Astyanax mexicanus: one gene and its partners. The protein of the gene in region 1 purifies or fractionates together with the protein of each later gene. This does not show direct contact. Links are inferred from orthologs where the notes say so. Each region holds a gene or a part of one and is shown on either strand. Other genes may lie near its edges.

Region 1 (7,258 bases):
AGAGTCAGGAGTGTGAGAACTGCTCAATCTCAATAGCGCGCATTTACACTGTGCACACAGCCGTCACCATGACTGTGCAAACATCCCCCTCCGAACCCACAACATATATACACCACTCCAGCTGGAGCGAACGGGCGCGAGGCGACGAAATGTGTCCAGCGCTGAAATAAACAGGGTCTGAACTGCTTGAATCTTTGCACCAGGAGTAAAGCAGCATAAAGTTATCCAAAAGCAGTGTGTAAGACTGGTGGAGGAGAACATGATGCCAAGATGCATGAAAAAAATTGTGATTAAAAACCACCAGGGTTATTCCACCAAATACTGATTTCTGAACTCTTAAATGTTCTTTGTGAATATGAATTGTATGTGTCCAGTGCAGAAATAAACATGGTGATTGTTTGGTAGCTGCTGTGAGCTGATCCGACCTGAAATATGTGGGTCACTCCTTCAGACCTCAGACCACAGATTAGACAATTAAAACAGAAGGAAATGTGACGAAATTAGTGAACAATCTGCTCCATTAATTTCTTAGCAGCGTGCCCAAAAGCTTGGCCATCTCTGCACAGGCCGCCGCCTACATTTAGAAACGAGACTCTCGGCCCTCGGCCCTCAGCGGTTCACGTGCCGCCCAAAATAACCGTGTGAAAGAGCCTCGGCGGTGAAAACAGACGCTGGCACCGTCTCAACAAAGCAGAGGTGTACGCCCGAGCCCGGTCAGAAGCGGCCCTGCACAAAGATAAAGCATGTCAGATGCGATCGCCAAAGACACGGCGCATGACATCACTCCCCCAGAGCCGGCTCTTTCCCAAGCCAACGTCCGAGTGGCGCAGTGGGCAGGAGGGGGTATCCAGGCCGAGCTCCCACACTGAAGCAACATGAACCGGGCACACACTGTCGCACCATCCGGGCCGATGATGTCAACCCTTTCCCATACAGAGCTGACAAGAGGCAAACAGAGCTGCACTCGGGCTCTAGGAGAAAAGAGGGAGAAAACGGGAAGTTAATGAGACTCTCACATCACAGACCCCAGCCTTCAGGGGCTCTTTTGACGTGTCAATCAGCCCAAGAGGCTGGGGCAAGACACGGGGGTGAACTGGTTCGTGGCATGTTTGCTTTCCTTGTATCTGTGCCTATATGTGTGTGTGTATTGTGTGACTGTGTGTGTGTGTGTGTAAAGAGTGTGTGTGTGTGTGTGTGTGTGTGTGTGTGTGTGAAGCTGTGTGAATTGCGATGGGATGGGGAGGGAGAACACAACATTGGTCCCCACTCTCGTTTCCTTCATCTGTGACCATCAGTGTCATCATTCATTAGTGAGCACACTGGTGAATCTCATTTTCACAATTCTTCTGACAACATTTAGGAAATGTAAGTAAGCTGTTGGATGGAGAGAGTGTTTAGTCTGATGGTCATTTTACACTTTATTGATGATTTATACCGAAGAGGCCAGTAAAAGAAAATACATAAGGATGTGAATGTGGGGTCCCTGCATTGAATGTTCAATTACAATTCTAGCCAGACACCACCGGTTATGAGTGCATTTCAAAATGGTCAGTTTATCTGATTTTGCTGTTAATAGGTTTATATTTGAGTAAAATGAACATTGCTCTTTTATTCTACAAACTACAGACAACATTTCTCCCAAATTGCAAATAAAAATATTCTCATTTACAGGCAATTATAATGCAAAAAAAAAAAAAAATTACATCTTGGCATCATGTTCTCCTCCACCAGTCTTACAAACTGCTTTTGGATAATGTTATGCCTTTACTTCTGGTGCAACAATTCAAGCAGTTCAGCTTGATTTGATTTCTTATTATCATAAGAACCAATAATCATTTCATTGGCTGTACAAAATCACTGTTTAATCTACATGTTTTTTTTACAGGTTTTATTATTAGTAAATGATGGTAAATCTAGAACTTTCTATCATTATAAACTCTGAATAAACAATGAAAATGATTATGATAAACAAGTAAGACAGACAGAGACTATGTTTTACAACAATTTAACTGTGTTAAACACTTATAAACTTCTATTATTATTATTATAACAGAGTAGATACCTCATGCACTGCATATTTTTTCATTATCCCTATTTTGTCATAGCTAATACCCTTCAGAGCTAAGTTTCAAATCCTAAATAAGATGGGTTAGATGTGTAATAGAAGTAAAAACACAAGAATATGCAGAGAATACAGGTTTTTGAGCTGTAATTGAGAACTACATGTTTTTTTGTGTGCAGAAATAAAAACAGATCTGGTTCCTTTTCCTCTTTTGCCCTCTGCAGGCCTGCGGCAGTAAGACTCCAGTGTAATGTTTAGTGCTCCAACAGTGTGTGTTCTAATCAGGCTTCAGATACACACACAATTCAGCAGCTATTAATATTCACAGCTCCAGAACTAGACTATTTCAGAAAATCTTTATTTTTATGTAAGATAGTGAATCTTTAATTTTGTTCGTTTTTATTATGAAAAGATGAATCCCCATGGTCTTACCTACAGCATTATTATTGGTGAAAATTATTAAAACTAGCAAATTAGTTTGATGGTATTTCTGTTTAAAATGTTTGCAAGCAGTATATGTGGGTATTCAATTTATTATTTGTATTTCTGAAAATAATATAATCTGTATTGTATTCTGATATATGTTTTTACACACCACTCATGTCATTTTTGTTGTGTTAATTACTTGTGAATTAGTAGTACAAAAAAAAGTACAAAACTGATGTAAACACTGATTCCTTTAATTGTATTATCCATGTGAGTTATTTCGTCTGCCTTACTCTAACTTTAGACTGATGGCAAATCAGCAGAAAAACACTGTGAATAAAATAAATTTGCTTTTACAAAATACAGCTTAAATTTTCAAGCATGAAATGTCAGCATTTAAGATACATCCGCTATTAAACACCAACATAAACTACTAGACTGGATTTTAAATAATATGGAAAACCTTATAGTGGAATTGTATTATTGTAGCAGAAAAATGGCTTTATTTATATGACATAATTATTTTATAAAACATTGCTGTGAAATTACGATGTAAACACGGTAATTTCGATATATTATGAATTCTTAGTTAATTACTAGTATTGGGTCAGAGATCAATTAAGCTTTATTGGGGTTTTGATTTGCTGAATTATTTTCATAATAAAAGCCAGACTTTTATTTTGAAAGGTTTCTTTAAACGTAAACACACCTATCTGTACCTTTATGACTTTGTACAACAGTCTGAATAAAACAATGAGCTTATATGTTTTAGGTGACGTAATCATGTAGACTTGGCATTTTACTGATAAACCATTTACTAAACACACATTAGAAATGTTAAATATTACATAACACCCACTGATCCATTGATCTTTTGGTCATCTGCCAGAGGTCATTAACACTGGAGTTTTTAAAAACTGTGATTAAAAACCAGGATTATTCCACCAAATATTGATTTCTGAACTCTTAAAACTTTATGAATATGAACTTGTTTTCTTTGCATTATTTGAGGTCTGAAAGCTCTGCATCTTTTTTGTTATTTATAAATGCTCTTAATGACAATATTTATATTTAGAATTTGGAAGAATTGTTTTCCATAGTTTATAGAATAAAACAACAATGTTAATTTACACATATATATTATATATATTTACTTATATATTACTTATATACACATAAATAGCCTGGTAATGTAATATTATTATAATACAGTGATAATACCATTTATCCTGCATTCTGATATTTATAGCTACCAGTAGCTCAACCAATGAGAGTGAATGGTTGAATCCAAACATGGTCCCTGTTTTTCACTGTACGTTAATTGCACACTTACATTTATTATAATATTAAAATATCTTTAGACTTATTATATTTCATATTTCACATTTTAGCAAGTTTTTGTAGTAAAACTCGGCTTTTATTATAATAAAAACACCCCGCCCACCCCCCCCCCCCCCCCCCCCTCTGTCTCTGCTAATGGAACAGTCCCGAATTGCCGCAGTGGTTGGCGCATTGATACACAGAAGAAAGCCGTGTATCTCTATCTTTTAGCGGGAGGCTAGTGTTCTTCCGCCGTAGTGAAGATAATACGTTTATAAAGAGCGAAACAACAACTCATACGCTGCATTTTTTGGGATGAATATAACAAATAAAAATTTACTTTAATGTCGCGAACAATATCTCTGATACTTATTCTGAACACACGTTAAATGAGTCAGAGAGGGAGAGGGAGGTCTAATTTTTTATATCAAAAAAGAAGTCCCGCCCATATTCCGCCATTTCGGTAGATGCTTTGTTAGCGGAGTCAGTGCGATGGTGGAAATACTCTTAATTGAGTATTTTTGACTCATTTTGACTAATTCGAACCGAAATATTTGTAGGTTTGCATTTTTGGTACAGTAGCGATAGGGAAGGAGTAACAGACGTTTTAAGCGGAGGGGTAAAGACAGCTAAATACAGTGAAATACGCGCGATTAGCTCGGTTAGCTTGTCTCGTTAGCTGGCGGTTTCTCCTCAGATTCGGGATCCTCTCAGACTCTTTATCAGCATTTTAACAGATTATTTAATCTGGATCCGCGGACTCGCACAGTCTGTGTGTGCGTGTTATTGATTAGCTAACGGCACTATTGTTTTTTTAATCGGTGGTTTCGTGTTTGTTTTGGCACCCTGACGACCCCTCGGCGAGACTCGAAGACGGGAGAGATGGCGAGCTCAGTGGGAAACGTGGCCGACAGCACAGGTAAACGTGACTGCATTCACTACAGGCCTGAGAGGACATTTAACACAGTTTAACAATATTTAACACAGTTACACACCCACAGCACTCAAATACTAATGTAAAACAGCATAATACATCTTTAGATATTTGTTTATCTAACTAATGTCCTCACTGCTTTGTTAAAATAAGATTGTAGGTACAAAACCATCTATAAATGCATTTATAGCGTTAATGTGCTTCACATTTATTCAGCTTAATGTCTGAGTTATGGAGTTTAAAACCTGATAACCAGAATATTTGTTTTTTTTTTTATAAACTTGAAATATTGTAACTGCCTAATTCATACATTGGTTATTTTTTTCTTGTAATTTGCCCAATCCTGCTCCTAAAATAATTTTCAAAACAATCTAAGAAAAAAAAAGAAACAGTTCCCAGTATTTTAGAACAATCAATTCTGAAATTTATAGATACATAAACTCAAATCTAAAATCTAATGCTGTATACTGGACCTTTCAGCACTCACATAGAGCCATATTTCTGAGTTTTAAGTCAAATAGATTTTAATTTAGTTTTGGCCAACAAATTAACCAGATAATAAGCTAATTTAGCTAGCTGATTATAATTAATTTGTTTTGCTAATTTGTTTTTTCTAATATTGTATTTGTTTATATGCCTGCTTAGTCAGTGGGTTGGGTGAAATGGGGTAAACAAAATTGTTGGGTTTGTCGTCCATTGTAGATGTAAGAAAATAATGCTTTTGTTTGGTATTGTAATATTGGCTTTTTAGTTTACTAGTTTACATGGAAAAATTGGTGTCAGAAGTGGTTCATTTTGTGTTGTTTAATCTCTGACCTCTAGAAAGCAGTGTTGTACTGCGTCATTAAATCACACTGTCTTAACAAATAACATAAATTACAACTACTGCAAATTTATTAGTAGGGAAAAATATCAGAAACCTGTAGATTTGCACACAAATAACATAACTCTCTCTTATCTCAGAGACGCATAGTTTGATTGTTGATTGTCGTGATTTGAAATGTGAGACTGTAATATTATACCTGTTATACAGTTTAAATTGTTAATAACCTGTTCTAACTCTTCATTATTTATTGTTTAAATCTGTTGCTACACCCTAATTCACAAGGTTTGTCGAATTACATTTTGCTTAAAAATCTTAGATCATTCAGTCAAATTATCATAATTCAGTTTCTGACAAGAACTAGAGATAAAAAAAGGCTTACAGATTTTAAAAGCAGCTAGCGAAAGATATTTGTCCATTTTAAAAAAGCAATTAAAATGACGCACCCCTTTAGTAAACTGTAACATCTTAGTCATGTATTTACCAAGTAGGCATTTGGAAAAATGTGGAAACTCTAACCGATTAAATCCAACCAAGCAGGAGCCTGTCTTACAGGGTGGGGTGCTGAAGTGCTAAAGAAAGATCTGATTATAAATAGAAAGTCTCAGGAGAGTTTGCTTTGTTTGTTGACTCACCTAATCCCTGAACCGATGTAGATAATGAAAAGAAAAAGAAAAGATAGAAAAAGCTGTAAATAGATAAGCCAGATTGTCATGTACTGTTTATGTTGATTTAAATATATATATGCATATATAGATATCATTAATTTTTCTCAGTTCTGATGGTGAAATAAAGGTGAACAAAAGGTTTGTTTGACTGTGCAGGAATTATTGGCAATTCATCTGAAAGTAAGCATATTTATTAACTTTCATAAACATTGAAAAGACTGTAAGACACTTTAGACATAAAAGCGTTAGACGTGAACACGTGCAGCTGCAATATTTAGCAGTGTTTAACTGTTTATCTCTTTGCATCTCTATTTGTTTTCACACATTTGTTTTTTTTCTTCATTGTTTGAATGCTTGCCCATTGACTGCTTGCACATCACATTTAATCAGTTTACTTAGTACTTAGTAAATGCATCATTTTATTTGGCGTCACCATTTTGTCTATTCATGTTCCTTCTCATACTTCTTTCTCAGCATCTGTGCTTTTCTTTTTTTTTTAATTATTTAAAGGATGAGTTCTGCATTTAAGCAAAGATATTGCCCAAAAATATTTATTTAGTGGTCACATCATGTGATTAATTGTATATAATGTATATAACACCAATTACATCAATAAAATTAGGCTGGACTCATCCTTTTAAATTCCCCTACATTTCCACTTTACTGTTTGTCTCTATGTGAATGAGGTTCTCTCTTTTTTTTTTTTTAGTGCCCTTTTTCACATTGATTGATCGGTTTATCAAAGTACAAGATAAACTTTTTTTCAGTGTTTGTTTTAAGGCCTAAAGCCTTTGTGTTTTTAGTCTGCATGTTAAAGATACATTTACTAAGTCATCATCTTTGTTCTTGTCATTGTTTGATTATTTTGCTTCATTTCCATTTATTCTAACGTGTTGTTTTCCCCCCTCCTCCTTCGGGTTGTGTTGGTGGCCACAGAACCAACAAAACATATGCTTTCCTTCCAAGGGTTGGCCGAGCTTGCACACCGCGAGTATCAGTCCGGCGATTTTGAAGCAGCAGAACGT
Region 2 (7,954 bases), on another chromosome or scaffold:
TTCAAGTGATGGAGAGGTAGGAGTAGGCAACCTGATTGCCACTGAGGCTGGTTTAAGCAGGAATGCCTTTAGAAATCCAGATACACACCCTCAACAAAACATGAGGAGAATGGAGGACAGTGCTCTAAGCACAAATGTAATGGCATCAACTGAAAATGATACAGCAGGAGCAGGAGCTGTAATGCATAGTGGCACAGAGACAGCTCCTCTGAGTGATAATATGGTGTCTACAGAAGAGCAAGATGGCACAGACACATCTCCTCAGAACGATGATGTGTCGAGCCAGCATTCTGCAGAAGTTTCCAGTAGCACACATACACCAAATCAGAGTGATTCTGCGATGTCAGCATCAAGCTCTGCAGAAGATTCAAATAATATTTCTGAGAACCACGGTGTCCATGAACGCACTCTGAGACCAGACATACCATTAAGGCCAGATAATGAAAATAATACAGATGACCAGGGAAAGGACATAGTACCATTACATTATGGAGCTAGAGCAGAAGCAGTGCCTGTTGTGCCAGATGGCACAGAAACATCTCCTCGGAATGATGATGTGTCGAGCCAGCGTTCTGCAGAAGATTCCAGTGACACGTCTAAGAATCATAAGAGTGATCTTGACGGCACAAATAAAGAAAACAACAGTATAATAGATGAGAATGGAGCTGGTGGTGCTAAAGCAAAAGGTGTGTCTGTATTGCAGGATGGCACAAATTCAACAAATCAGACTGATTCTGGGATGTCAGCAGCAAAGTCTTCAGAAATTTCAAATCAAATGTCAGACGACCACGGTGTCCCTAAACCCACAGCTAAAAATGACACAAAGACAACAAGGGATGACGCTCTCAGACAGGACATAGTACCACCAGAACCAGATAATACAGATGATTTAGAGGGTTCTAAAAATACACAGAGTTCTGAAAAAGAGTCAGTTGCAATGTCTGAGGACCAGAGTGTCCAAAAAAGCACAGCTACCGAACACAAGGGGAGAACAGGGGATGATTCTCAGGAACCGGGCATATCATCAAATGAAAATAATGCAAATAATGCAATGGAATCCTCAGGGGGTGACACAGAGGAAGTTTCTCTTGTGGGTGATATTGAGATGTCTGACAACCAGGAGAGTGACCAGAGACGAGAAAAAGATCCACCAACTAAAGATGATGATGATGAAATGGAAACAGAGGGTAACACAGAAACAGCTCAGAACATACTACCAAATGTAGATGGTGGGGCACATCCTGAAGCAATGCCTGGACTACAGAGTGGCACAGATACAACTCATCTAAGTGATAGTCCTCTGCCAGGACAGAATTCTACAGTAGAGTCAGATGAAATGTCTGACAACCTGGAAAATGACCAGAGATTGGACCAAGATCAAAAAAAAAAAAGATGATGAAGCAGATGCAATGGTGGAATAGTCTGAAACGGAGCATGACACGGATACACCTCAGGATGCTAAAAAGTCAATACTAAATTCAGAATATTTTTTTAATATATAATTTTTTGACATGAAAACACAAAACTACTAAAGAAGAAATAAAAAGAACAGGTACAGATACTCCTGGCAGAAGATTCAGATAGCGAAAACATAAAGAGAGTAGTGTAGGGTTTACTGAAACTGGAACCACCAAAAGGTGACGCAGAAGAAGGAACTGATAAAAAAGGACATTTTCTGGAATATTATTTTGCCGTTCTCAGCAATGTTTAGAACTGAAGCATTTATAAGATGAATCAATTTAATTATGGGAACGGGGATTTCACTGTTATAAGAATAATAGAAATGTAATGATCGCATGTTAGGACGTATATCAATATACAGTATTTGTTTGAAAAGGTATTTCCCTTTGATTTCCTTTTTAAATTTAAAAACATAAAAAATCTCTGTAATCCATTTTTATTTCTGAAGTCTGTGATCTATATATTTCTATAAGTAATATTAAATAGTTAGATGTTAGGAAATTTTATAAATTATGTAATTTGTAGATCATGATCTGACTCACAATTTGACTTTGCATTTAATCTGTGATAATAAATATACATTAACAAAATGTTCTCTGGCTGTTCTAAATGTGTGTTCATATTTTCTGTATTCGAGCCTTCTTTAGAAATTTCTACTTGCAACTTTGGTGCAAATACAACATGACTTCCACTGTTTAATGATAACAGATGACAAATTAATCACACCTTTTCACACTTGAAATGCACCTGCAAACTATATTTTTAGACAAAGAACAAGTAAATACAGAAAGCTTTTTAAATGATGTATTCATTTTTAAATGAATCATGTATTAACAGATTATTAGAATTTTCATGATCACTTGTTAAGAAGTATTGCCACAACCAATAGAGCAACCAAAATCCCACATAACCTGTGGGATTTTTCTATCCCAGATTTTTCCATCTCTAATGTATTAAAACTATTTTTTTCTGACATCAAAATGTATTTATTTGTGCACATAGTTTTTTTTGCTGATTTAACACTGATACAAAAATATATATGTTTTGTTTGTATTAAACTTTAAACAATAAATATGCATATACTGTATGCATTCCATTTATATAACTTGTACTGTAAAAAGGGACATATAAATCATATTATACTACAAAAAAATAATGATAGTAATGTATTATTATTATAGTAGTAGTATATGTGGGGAGCACATTTGCCTAAAAGCATTGAGAGTGTATACCATTCAAAACATTTAATTGAACATTGATTCAATGTCAGAAATTTAAAACTGACCTTTATTTCAAATATAGTGTGTTTAAAGGTTGTTTTACCATCAACAACATCACAATATGTAATATGAACAAATGTTTGTTCAATGTTTTATTGCTATCCAGGATATGTGAAAAAATATATCCTTTCTGGATATAAAACTGTCACTCACATAATGTACATACTTCCTTTGGGTTTGTTTCATAATGATTTTTGTTTGTTTTGTTTGCAGTAATTATAATTTATAAATTGTAAGTATACTAGCTCTCTTAACAGAGGTATACATATAGCTCTACATTACATACTTATACATAGTTTCTGTGGTGTTCATGTTCATTTCAACCAAAACAACTTAAGAGTTGAGAATTAGATTGATATAGGGCTTTTCAGAAACCCAAGAACACTTTAAAATGTCAATAGAAAGGAGGATATAGAATATCCTAATGAATAAATGAATTGCACAGCTAAGACGTGAAGTGAGAGAAAAAGAGGAAAGTGGAAGAGCCATGGAAAGATTGTGTCTAAGAGTTGCCAATTTTATGTGTCACCATAAAATTGGCATCTCTGTGGTGCTGCTCATAAGAGCCGTGGACCTGTTTTTCCTGTAAAGCGGCTTTGTGACAACCTTTGTTGTAAAAAGCGCTATATAAATAAAATTGAATTGAATTGAAGAGTTCCAAAGTTAAGGAGCTGATGAACAAACAGCATTATCTACTACCTACAGGTTTTAATTTAATTTTAGGGGCAGTCAGAGGTCCAGAGGCAGGGGCATAGCAGCAAATTCTGGGCCCTGTACACTCTCTATGTCAGTGGGCCCCTATCCATGCCAGTACACAAGGAACGTGATCAAAAAAAACAAATTCTGGATTTCATGGGCCCCTCTCCCTACTCGGGCCCTGGGTAGTCAGGTCCACTTTTCTCACCACTACCACGCCCATGGTCAGAGGACAGTGAGGCAGAATAAGTTAAATGAGGTATGAAGGGAAAGCCCATAAAGGGGTTTAAAAGTTAGCAATGTACTTAATATGTGAGAATATTTACATGCAGCCAGTGAAGATTCTTGAGGACGGGAAAATGTGGGCGAAGCGTTTGGTGAGAGTAAGGACCCTAGCAGCTGAGTTTTGTATCGACTGAAGGTGACTGAACTGCGTAAACAGAAGACTGGAAATTAAGTTGTTACTGGGACCCACCTTACTCTCATATGGGCCCCATGTAGGCCCTGTGTGCAGTGCAAAACCCAGAAGCTGCCCATGTTTAAAGGAATCCTCTATTGCAGGGGTGTCCAAACTATGGCCGCGGGCCATTTGCGGCCCGTTTCCTTTTTTGGAGCGCCCCACGAGGTATTTTGGAAATAGAATGAAAGTTGGCCCGCTGTTAAGCAGGTTTTTATAATGTGGCATTCAAAGTGTGAACGCTAGGTGTAACGGGGCAAAAGAGTCTAAAAGCGGAGAGAGTGCGCATTTCTAGCACAGAACAACGGGGCAAAGAGTCTAAAAGCGGAGAGGGTGTGCATTTCTAGCACAGAACAACGGGGCAAAGAGTCTAAAAGCGGAGAGGGTGTGCATTTCTAGCACAAAACAACGGGGCAAAGAGTCTAAAAGCGGAGAGGGTGTGCATTTCTAGCACAAAACAACGGGGCAAAGAGTCTAAAAGCGGAGAGAGTGCGCATATCTAGCGCAGAAAAACGGGGCAAAGGAGTCTAAAAATTGCCGTAATTAAAGAGTTTAATATTAAGAGACATCATGAAATTAAACATCAATTTGAAAAATCTTAGTTTACACAACACTGTCAAAGATAAAGATGGTATGTAATGGTGTGTAAATGAAATAATCAGGAAAAAAGTATTATTTAAAGTGGTATATTTCATTATTTGTTTTATTACCGAGTGGGGCCCGTGACTTTAAATATATTTCTCCTTCTGACCCCCAATAAAAAAAGTTTGGACACCCCTGCTCTATGGCGTCAATCGATGTCAGAAGTCGGGGGCGCAAAAACAGCAGGTGAAAAAAAAACGTGTGAGTTTTAACATTTTGCCTGTGTAAATTTCTTTGTCGCAAGCACAACTTTGAAACTCGCAGGCACAAAAAAAGAAAATGTGTGCGTGCAGAACAGAATATCGCTGTCGAGCTTTATTTTTCACCTTTTTTAATACCTGTATGCAGGCAGCAGGGGGCGGTCTGATCCCCGCTCCTCCTCCTCTTTCTCCGCGGTGTGTCTGTGGGTCTGGCTGTAGCTGTGTTTGTCCTCTACCAGCGCTGGGAAAGGCGCTCCTCCATCAGCAGCACGCAAAGAAGAAAATGGAGGACAAGATGTGGCGGTGAGCGCGCTGCTGCAGACACGCCGGATTCACAAGTGAGTGTGCGGCCCTGGAAGCGCAGACGGTCCGCGGCTGGATGCATGCGCTGCAGCGGGTTTAGAACGATGCTTTTAACTGCATTTAACTTAATATTTGATCAGATTCGGGTTCCGCTGAGCTGTTGCTGCACGAGCTCGGGCGGCAGTAATGGCGTCGCGGTCTGAAGCCTCCACTATATAGATTATAACCACTATCATCATCTTTATCTGCGCGGATTACACATATTTACAGCCTGAACGTAGCGAAATCGATGTGGCGGTAGTGTAAAGAATATAATCAGCTAGTAGTTGCTGTTATAGTTTATATGATATGCGCTATAAAATCATGTTTTTGGAGACAAGTTATTAGCTAAGAAAGCTAACTAACTTGGCTAGCACGTTAGCTTAGCTAGGTTGTTGCGTAGAGGTGGGTAAACCAGGTCTAAAAAGGAAAAAAGCCAACCCAGGCTTTGTACCAGTTTCCTGGGCGGTTTTGCTGAGTTTTCCAGGCAGTTGATACAAAACGCTGGGTTGGATTTTTACTTACTGGACCTGGGTTACACACCTCTAAATTACTTGTTGGCTAGCCTCGTGGCTAACATTGGATTTAACGTTGGCTAGCGTTCGCTAATCTAGCCTTCTCACACGGCTGCATTTCGTAATGTCTCTCAGTTTAAATCACAAAAAAAGACTTGTTGCTTTAAACGCTGTAAACGTCATATTTAGCGACATATAGATATGTAACTAACTAATATAGCTACGTATTACTTACTGAACGAATTTGTTTAAATGTAGTTTGTTTAGCACCTTAGCTATTTAGATACCCTGCAAAGCGATTCGTTAGTGTTGTCATGTAACCTAGCTAACATAGCTAGCCAATATTAACGATAGCTAACTAGCTAGGTTAGCTAAAAGTGGGCGTGATGCGCACAGTAATGCCTTACTTTTACCTATTTATTGGCACGTTTAAGGAATTTTGTGCTTTTTTCTGTGTCCTACCCATTAGCATAGATGAGCTAGTTACCCCCTTTACGGGCCTTGTAGTGTAACGTTAGGTGATACAAAACTATTTTACTGCTTTTTCTGCAGTAAAATCGGTTATTCACATTCTGAAAACTTAGAAATCTCACACGGGTTACTTGGAGAAGCTGCCTGTTTATTTTCTACTGCACTTAATAATTTCAGATCAGTAACAGACACCAAACCCACATTATGCAGGTTTGTAAATAAACAAAAACTTGACAAACATAACGAAACGAAAGGTTTGGGGGAAATGAAATGTCTAATTTGTATTCAGGAAAATACACATTTAAAAATAAAGTTTAGGTAAGTGACAATTTTATGTTTGTTATTCATTATATTTGTAAAGTTGCAGATTTAATTTTTAAAAAAATAATACCTATTACAATTCGAATTCCTAGTAACGTGTATTATCGAACATGAAACCTCTATATCTTTAAGATTTAAGGGTGTGTAATATCAGGCAGAAAATTAACAAGCTAACCCATGTCTGGATTGCACCCGGGTATAAGTACCTAGCATTTGCAACACAGGGAGGCTTTGTTTCACACATTGATTTAAAACTTTGCAATGCAGTTTACCCTAATGACTGGGCACATTTTACTTGTTGGTACAATATAGCCTATAACTACCTATATAACTATAACTATAAAACTACCTATTTAGAGCCAGGGGTTTATACATTAGTGATGTAATCTATTTTACCTAAGCAATGTCATGCCTTTCTGTGAACTTTAGAATAAAGATTAACCTTATCATGTGGGTAAATAAGTGCTCAGATTATAGAATTCCACTTTATTTAATCAAATCTAATATTTTTAGGTAATATTTAGGTAACATTTGATTCAATAAAAAATGTATGAAAATTAAATGCAGTTTTAAGAATGTAAATTGCCAGTCTTTTCACGTACATGCAAAAACATTGCATCTCATTTTTAGTGGACTTTCAAGTTTATATAATTTGAATATGGCAGTTGTTGTTTAAATTGTATAAAAATGGGTGTGCAAAAAGCTTGTGCCTTCTGAATATTGATGCCAATTTCAAATTTAAATCGGATAAATTCAGGGAGCAGCTCAATCACGTTTTTTTTTATTATTATGAGCACATGACTAGTTCTTATTTTAAGGTTAAAATTCTGATGCAACCAAAATGACACAACAATTTTTAACAACTGGTATTTTATACATTTGTTCTAAAAAATAAGTTCAGAACTAGCCAGCTAGTCCTATCAACGTGATGCATGTCATTAACGCGTTTGAATTGTTAAACCGATTGAAAAATACATGTAGGAGCAAAAATACACTTTTTAGGCAGCTGGTTTATCTCAAGCACCAACCCAGCAATACTTTAGCTTTAGATACATTCTGTAGTTAAATGAGGGCACATGAATGAATACTAATTCACTTACTGACCTGTAGTAACGCACACAGTAATGTGTGTTCATGAGATACAGTGTTATTGTAGCGCAGAGGGGCTGCGGAGTATTAGCGGGTACGGAAGATGACTTAGCCTAGCCTAGCTTAGCTCGGTTAGCTAACCTAGCCAGCTCGTATTAACGTAGACACGAGCTGTTCTACTACTTTAAACCCTAGCTAAAGCGTGTAAAAGCACATTTCGGAGCGTACATGCCCCTAGCTAAGCTACATTTTAATCTTTAGCTGATATGTAAGGTAGCACGGGACATGGGAATACGGCGCTCCCTCCTGCCTCGTGACTGGGAAAACTGGGAACACGAAGGCGTGAACGTGGCCTGCATTATATTTCCCCATTATTTGGATTTTAAAAAAACGAGTAACTAATACGGGTGTGTTTATATTTGTCAGCTTTAGTTCAGTGTAAACGAACCCTGGTGCGAAACCATTGCTCTGTTAGGAGGG
Region 3 (7,060 bases), on another chromosome or scaffold:
TGAAGTCTCCTAATTTTTTTCTAAAGTGTTATATACTTATATACAAGTGATGCAACTTTTCAGTGTATGACCCTAATAGAACACTATGTATAAAATATATAGGTTGTAAATCTACTTGTGTTACATTTAATGAGATCAGCCATAACATTAACACCACTGAGCTGGTGAAATGAATTACAGTTCCATTTTTCCCCTCTTTGGTATAGTGAAAAAGAAATGGAATTTCATTCAGGTTTTCAAGTTTTTATTTTTTCCCCTGATAAAATGAAAAAGAAAATAATAATAATATCCTGTCTTTCTCTCCAATCTAATAGTTAAATAACTACATTTTCTTATTACAAGATGCAAAAACAAAATAGAGAGTAAAATAAAGATTCTTTTTTTCCGTTTTCCGTGTAAGATTGGAAGGGCATGAATTAAAAACTTATAAAGAAAACAGGTGTATTGAGCTACTTTGTTTATTTTTGTTGTTGATTGTTGTAGTTCCACAATAAAACACTAGATGGAGGCACTAACTTAACCCTCTGCAATGACACGGCGTGCTGTTTAATGCACTACACTGAAAAGTCTCCTTTATTGGATAATTTAGCCAGTTATTAAGCTATTTCCATTTAGTAGTTTTGGTAATCGTTATTATTTAATGTGAAAGTGCCATAATATCGATTAGAACGTTACTAAAATAGGGCTATTCACTGTATACCAACTCTACCACAGCTGTATACTGTTGTATATCTGTATACCAATACTACTACCACAGCACAAGAAAATCCAGCCAAGATGTACAAAGCTGTCATCTAGGTAAGAGATGCTACTTTAAAGACTCTAAAATACAAAACATATTCTGGTTGGTTTAACACTTTTTGTTTATACCATCATGTTTGAAATGAGTTGAATGTTCTATTGTAAATAAAATACGAAATATATCATCTGGTCAGTTTTAATAGCAGCATATTACTTAAATGTTCTGGGGTAAACTTTTGCTCCTCTGTTCTAAACAATCCGGTTTATTATAAAATATTTTGATTAGTACACATTACCACATGTTATGGGATATTCTGGTACTGCAGATAGAGTTACTGTAGAACCTCACTATGACTTACTGTGCTACTGTGATTTATTATGCACTTCATCCTCAAAGGAAGTTGCCAATAAATCCTGCTCCACAGTGTTCCTGGAAAGATTAAACCAGATAAAGACGTAAATGGCTTGTGTCTGATGTCTGAGATGCTCTCCAGTTCTCTAAATGGAGAGATGATTTCGTTTGTTTAGACGATTATTTCTGTCTGCAAACTAAGTCTCTACTCAAAGCCTTAACGTATTTATTAAATCCTAGTAAATAACCAGTGAAAGATGAGACTAGTTGCCAAAAAAAAAAAATAAACGCCAAATATCATCAGTAAGTGAGATCATACATTTGGCACATCTTCTTGTCCTATATCCAACCAGGCCTTGAGCCAGCAGCAGCATCTGGAACTCTTATGTTGTGCCAGTGGTGTGAAGATTACAGATTTACAGATTTGTTTTTGTTGTTGTTTTTTTTTGTAATACTTACATTAATATCAGACAAGTAACCTAAGTAAATATAAAAAGTACTTTTTTAATTATGATTTAATTTATTAAGGGGAAAAAAAATCTAAATCTAGCCCCTGAACAAGCCCGTCATAAATTAACCTTGATTAATCACACTTTTTGTAAAGCTGAGTTCAATTTCTCTAACCACAACCAAGACTGATTACCACCAGACCTGTAGAATCAAGAACTTACTTTCTGACAACATGAAGCTAAAAGCAACACATTATGCTGTGATCTAAAGAAATTCCAAAACAGATGAGAAAACAAAGTCATTGATCATTTATCAGTCTGGACAATGTTGTAAAGTAATTTCTAAGGTTTTGGGACTCCAGTGAACCACAACGAGAGATATTATTCACAAACTGGGAAAATATGAATCTCTGGTGAATCTTCAGGAGTGGCCGGCTGACCGAAATTATTCCAAAAGGGCATGGACAACTCATCTAGGAGGTCACAAAGCGTCAGCGGTAATGATGGAATAATAAAAAAGTGACTGGTCAAAAATGGTAACCATGGTAAAACTTACAATTAATTTCACAAAAAACATAATTCTGAACATAAAGCATAGTGGTGGTAGTGTGATGGTCTGGGGCTGCTTTGCTGCTTTGACCTGGACAGCTTGCTGTAATAGATGGAACCAGGAATTCTGCTGTTTACTAGACAATCCTGAAGGAAAGTATCACAAAAAAGCAAAAACAAAAGAAATCTGTAGGGAGGCAAATACTTTTTATACTGTATACACAGTGTCAATACTGTCCAAAAATGGCTTCTACTAGATGTTGGAGCATTGCTGTAAAATTCTAATACTAACAAAGATATTCTGAATTCTCTATTTTCAGACAGTTACTTTGCTGAGCACTCCATAAATAAAAATCGAGGCAGATCATTAAATGTTAAAACATTACAGTTTTATTTAATATTAATACATCTTCTGAAGAGTATGTTTTCATAGTATGTAAAGATGAAAGGACTCCTAACATTATTGCATTTACTGTGGCTAATTTTTACTTTTAATATTTTATTGTTTCAGTCAGCTATACAGTACCAGTAAAAAAATTACACAAATTGAATACAGTGGTATTATAGTGGTATAATCCATATTATGTCAAAAACTAGACCAACAACCTTATGAAACTTGCTCTCATTAGAAGTGCCAGAGCAAGAGAGGAGCAAGAGTTACAGTATATCCGGAAAGTATTCACAGCGCTTCACTTTTTATTACGTAACAGCGTTATTCCAAATTGTATTACATTAATCTTTCCTCAAAATTCTACACAAAATACCCCATTACGACCATGTGAAAAAAAGTTTTCTTGAGAGTTTTGGAAATGTATTAAAATAAAAAAATAAAAAAAGAAATCATATTTACATAAGTATTCACAGCCTTTGCTTAATACTTTTTAGAACCACATTTGGCAGCAAATACAGCCTCAAGTCTTTTTGAATATGATGCCACAAGCTTGGCACACCTCTCTTTAGGCAGTTTTGCCCATTCTTCTTTGCAGTACCTCTGAAGCTCCATCAGGTTGGATGGGAGACATCTGTGCACAGCCATTTTCAGATCTCTCCAGAGATGTTCAATCAGATTCAAGTCTGGGCTCTGGCTGGGCCACTCCAAGACATTCATATAGTGGTCCTGAAGCCACTCTTTTGAGATCTTGGCTGTGTGCTTCGGATCGTTGTCCTGCTGAAAATTGAACTGCCACCCCAGTCAAGAGCGCTCTGGAGTTCTGGTTTTCATCCCGGATGTCTCTGTACATTGCTGCATTCATCTTTCCTGACTAGTATGCCAGTTCCTGCTGCTGAAAAACATCGCATTGCATGATGCTGCCACCACCATGCTTGACTGTAGGGATGGTATTGGCCTCGTGATGAGCAGTGCCTGGTTTCCTCCAAAATCTTATTCCATGTTTGGTTTGCATTTTTATTTAGATAAAATAAATATTAATGATATAATTGTAATTTTTATTAATTGTAATTAATTGTGTATAATTCATTTTAAGTTTATATACAAATTATCTAGCTTACATGACGTTATAATTGTTGTTTGTTTGTTTTCAGCTTTTTGTCTGTTTGTTTATTTTTGTTGGTTTGTTTGTAGCTGTTTATTTTGTTTGTTAAATGGCTGTTTATTTTGTTTGTTCATTTATATCTGTCGTTTGTTTGTTTATACTTGCATATTTTCTTTACATATGTTTATTTTGTTTGTTTGTTTTATGGCTGTTTAATTTGTTTATATATATTTGTTTTGTTTTGTTTTGTTTGTTTTGATGCACTTGGCCGAGGCTTCACCTTCACCCTCCCGCCTGACTCCCTAGTGACGTCTTTAGCAAGTAAACGGCAGATTCGCCAATTTAAGACACACATTGCTAGCTCGTCAGATAGAAAAAAATATATAGCTGCGTCAGAGGATGAAGCGTGTTGTATTGTTTACTGTAAATTAAAACACGGATCGTTTGATTCATGTTTTAATAATTTAGCGCTTTCATTAAGTTCGCTAGCCGGCAAAGATAGGCAGATCCTGTGCGGAAAGTGCTTGAGCCGAATCAAAGGAATGTTGTTCTTGTGACGAATGGCGGACAGGCGAGGCTCTCAGGTTGGTTGCGCGATGGCCGCTGTGTGTTTAACCCCGATTATTTCCTCAAAACAGCGCTTTTAGGTGGAATATGGCGCTTTAAAATGTCTCGAAGCGGCACCGGAACGCGGGCAGCACCTCTCGAGGCCGGGCAGCGCGGCCCCGGAGTGGAAAATACGCCGCTTTTTGGCTCCGCGGGTCTCCGGGAGTCTGGTTCGCTGTAGCGGCCTGCCGAGCGGCTAGTTAGCACATTAGCTTAGCATGCTAGCTATCTTGTTTAGCGGCATTGTGGCGGACGTTTTTAGCTTGTTAGCGCTTTAGCTAAGTGCAGGTGACCGCTCGTAGCTGCGTTGGAGGCTCTAAAAGAGGGATAAAAGACTTTAGCAGACGGGAGCCTCTGTTTTAGTGCTCGGATAAATTCGCCGCGGAGACGGAGGGTAAAACGAGTTTAGTTTGAAATCTGGGGTTATTAGCTACAGTTCATAGCGTTTCTCCTAACCTAGCGGTATCTACTCTGCAGGCAGCCCACAGTTTTAGTGTTTATACTGTTATAACCATGTGGATATGAGTGCAGGTTGCCGGTAAAAGTCGTTAGCTATGTAAAATCGGCTGTTCTTTCAAGTAGTGTTGAAATATTGTTAAAAACAGGACTCAGTTTATGAGGGATATGATTAGCTGCTATTGTTGCAACTGTGCAACTATGCGTGCAGCATCACAACAAAAACCTGATTAACTCCTCTTAGACTCATCTCCAACAGCAACAAGAGACAATAGCATAGGGAAGATGATCAGGAGAGGGCTTGAGCAAGGATTGCATACAGCCCTTGGTCATCATCTGACCTACTCTTTAGGTTGACTATTTCTAATTCTTTCCCTAAGAACAAAAAAGAGAGTTTGGAAAGCTTAAGCTGGATGACCAACATAACCATCATGTCCAAGTTTGTTTACCAGACTAACCTATGTAATGCCGATTGAACTAAATATTGTAAGGATGCATGATAATATTGAAGTTATGTCAGTATAGGTTGATACTGTTTTTTGAATCAGCAGCATTCAGTGATATTAATATGACCAATACTTCGAACCGATACTTGCTGACTTTCTGTATTTATTGTAAGGCAGCAAAGGTCTAAGTGATGCTGGCCATGCTAATAAAATTGACACACACTGACAGAGATTCTTTAAAATGATTTGATTTATGTATTTTTTTTTTTTTAGTTTTTTAAAGTTATACCAGTGTGTTGAGTCTCTCTGTAAGTAATAAAATGTGTATCCTCTTCAGCAAATTTATATATAGTATATAAGTCTGATTTCCCACATCGGTGCATCCCTACCATTGTGCCATTTGTGCCTTTGCCGTTGTGTCCTGTGAATTTCATTCACCATTCTTATTTTCTCTGCAGTAATAGCATGGATCCAGATAGTGGGGCGGACACCCAGCGAGCTCTCAGTCTGCAATGGAAGAGCTACAAACTTGTACAGGACCCTGCCATTCGCAGGGTCGCTCAGAAGATCTACAGATACGATGGGATTCACTTCAGTGTGCCGGTATATGCTTTTTTTATATAGTTGGTTTGTGATGGTAGACGCCGCAGTCAGCAAGAAAATAACTAAAATCAGGGCATTTAAGGGTAATGTATTACTTGTCAGCAAGCTAATTCTGAGGCCTCTGAGTCATTTTGTGAACATCTGTTTCAATGCTTTCAGTTGAAATGTGTTAAGTGACTCACCATGCATTAAAATATTTTAATTTATTTATTGGACATTTGTGTTGGATTTAATAAGACGGATATACCTTTAGCTTTTACACAATACTGGGAATCTTCATTCTTGGAGATCTACCAGCCTTGCCCTCTTAAGTTTAGCTGTGGTACACCTGGTTTTAATATTTATATGCTGCAGCTGAAGGCCTTTATCAACAGGATCATAAGTGTTGGACATAAACTAGTAGAAATAAATGCTTTGTTTCTTTGTCATGCTAATCCAAGGTAATTTAGTCTCAATTTCAACATTTTATAAATGTTAGTAAATCATCACTGACATGCATATCAAATTTTGGATATCTGCTTCAGCCCATAATTCCGCTTAAGTTAATATCAAGATTTTATAGGTAGTCAAATAGGTAGTCTGTATGCCGTTATGCTTATTCAGGCCATGCAGTTTTAAGTGCATGTGTTTGTCAGTTTTTAGCACTAAATAAATATTGATATTGTACATAACAGCAAAATCTGGTTTGTACTATTAGCACTGCTTATGTTAAAATTGAGGCTATATTTTTGGAATACTTATAACTACATGATTCCTTATTAAGCGATTAATATTCATTAAATTATTTTCTAACCCTTAGGACGCAGGGTTCCCACCTGTGGGGGAGTTACGTGACCCTCGGCCCCGAAGGATATGGTCCAGGCACACGGAGCTGTCGCTTCCCGTGCCCAAATTTAAGGTATGTTTTTAATGTCAGTCTTTTTTTCTCATATTTGCAACCTGTGAGTGAAAATGTTCCACATCAATTCTTGTTTTCTCTAGAGTACATTTTTATACATATTTTGGCTGAATTGTTTTGCTCTTCTTGCTTGAGTGCACCTGAACAAATTCTTAACATTTCATAAGTAATTGTCTCAGTCTGAAGGCCTGTTTTCTGCAAGGATCTTTAGAGACAGGAAATTTTAACTTTTGAACAGACTGAGGTCTGGTTGAGTCTTTTTGGCTCTGGTGGCTGTTATCGCTTTTTGGTCAGCAGAGAGTTAAAACAGGCCTTTTGGTGGGCATTGTTTGCTATAGCTAATGCTGAATGCACACTACATAATTGTGGGCATGATTTTCCTGTCATGGACAAATGTTGGAGATGTGCAACAAAAGCTTGGAGGTAAATATTCAGGTATGTTTAAGAGCTCTTTCTGATGCATCTTG

What was found.
Region 2: the proteins of ogt.1 (region 1) and dido1 purify together in Homo sapiens (affinity purification with mass spectrometry; 3 studies listed by BioGRID and IntAct, with this or other methods). This does not show direct contact. The link is inferred for Astyanax mexicanus from reciprocal best matches to the Homo sapiens genes OGT and DIDO1.
Region 3: the proteins of ogt.1 (region 1) and setd1a purify together in Homo sapiens (affinity purification with mass spectrometry; 4 studies listed by BioGRID and IntAct, with this or other methods). This does not show direct contact. The link is inferred for Astyanax mexicanus from reciprocal best matches to the Homo sapiens genes OGT and SETD1A.

Annotation. Positions count from the first base shown.
Region 1 is NC_064417.1:383,919-391,176, forward strand, and holds the start of ogt.1 (UDP-N-acetylglucosamine--peptide N-acetylglucosaminyltransferase 110 kDa subunit), read left to right. Parts: upstream 1-4,253; 5' UTR 4,254-4,690; coding exon 4,691-4,727; intron 4,728-7,169; coding exon 7,170-7,258. UniProt on the Homo sapiens protein: Catalyzes the transfer of a single N-acetylglucosamine from UDP-GlcNAc to a serine or threonine residue in cytoplasmic and nuclear proteins resulting in their modification with a beta-linked N-acetylglucosamine (O-GlcNAc).
Region 2 is NC_064431.1:22,959,739-22,967,692, reverse strand, and holds the start of dido1 (death-inducer obliterator 1), read left to right. Parts: upstream 1-4,936; 5' UTR 4,937-5,074; intron 5,075-7,954. Other genes in the region: opioid growth factor receptor-like, read left to right, coding at 1-1,396. UniProt on the Homo sapiens protein: Putative transcription factor, weakly pro-apoptotic when overexpressed. Tumor suppressor. Required for early embryonic stem cell development.
Region 3 is NC_064426.1:19,730,240-19,737,299, reverse strand, and holds the start of setd1a (histone-lysine N-methyltransferase SETD1A), read left to right. Parts: upstream 1-3,948; 5' UTR 3,949-4,168; intron 4,169-5,550; 5' UTR 5,551-5,557; coding exon 5,558-5,695; intron 5,696-6,494; coding exon 6,495-6,593; intron 6,594-7,060. UniProt on the Homo sapiens protein: Histone methyltransferase that catalyzes methyl group transfer from S-adenosyl-L-methionine to the epsilon-amino group of 'Lys-4' of histone H3 (H3K4) via a non-processive mechanism.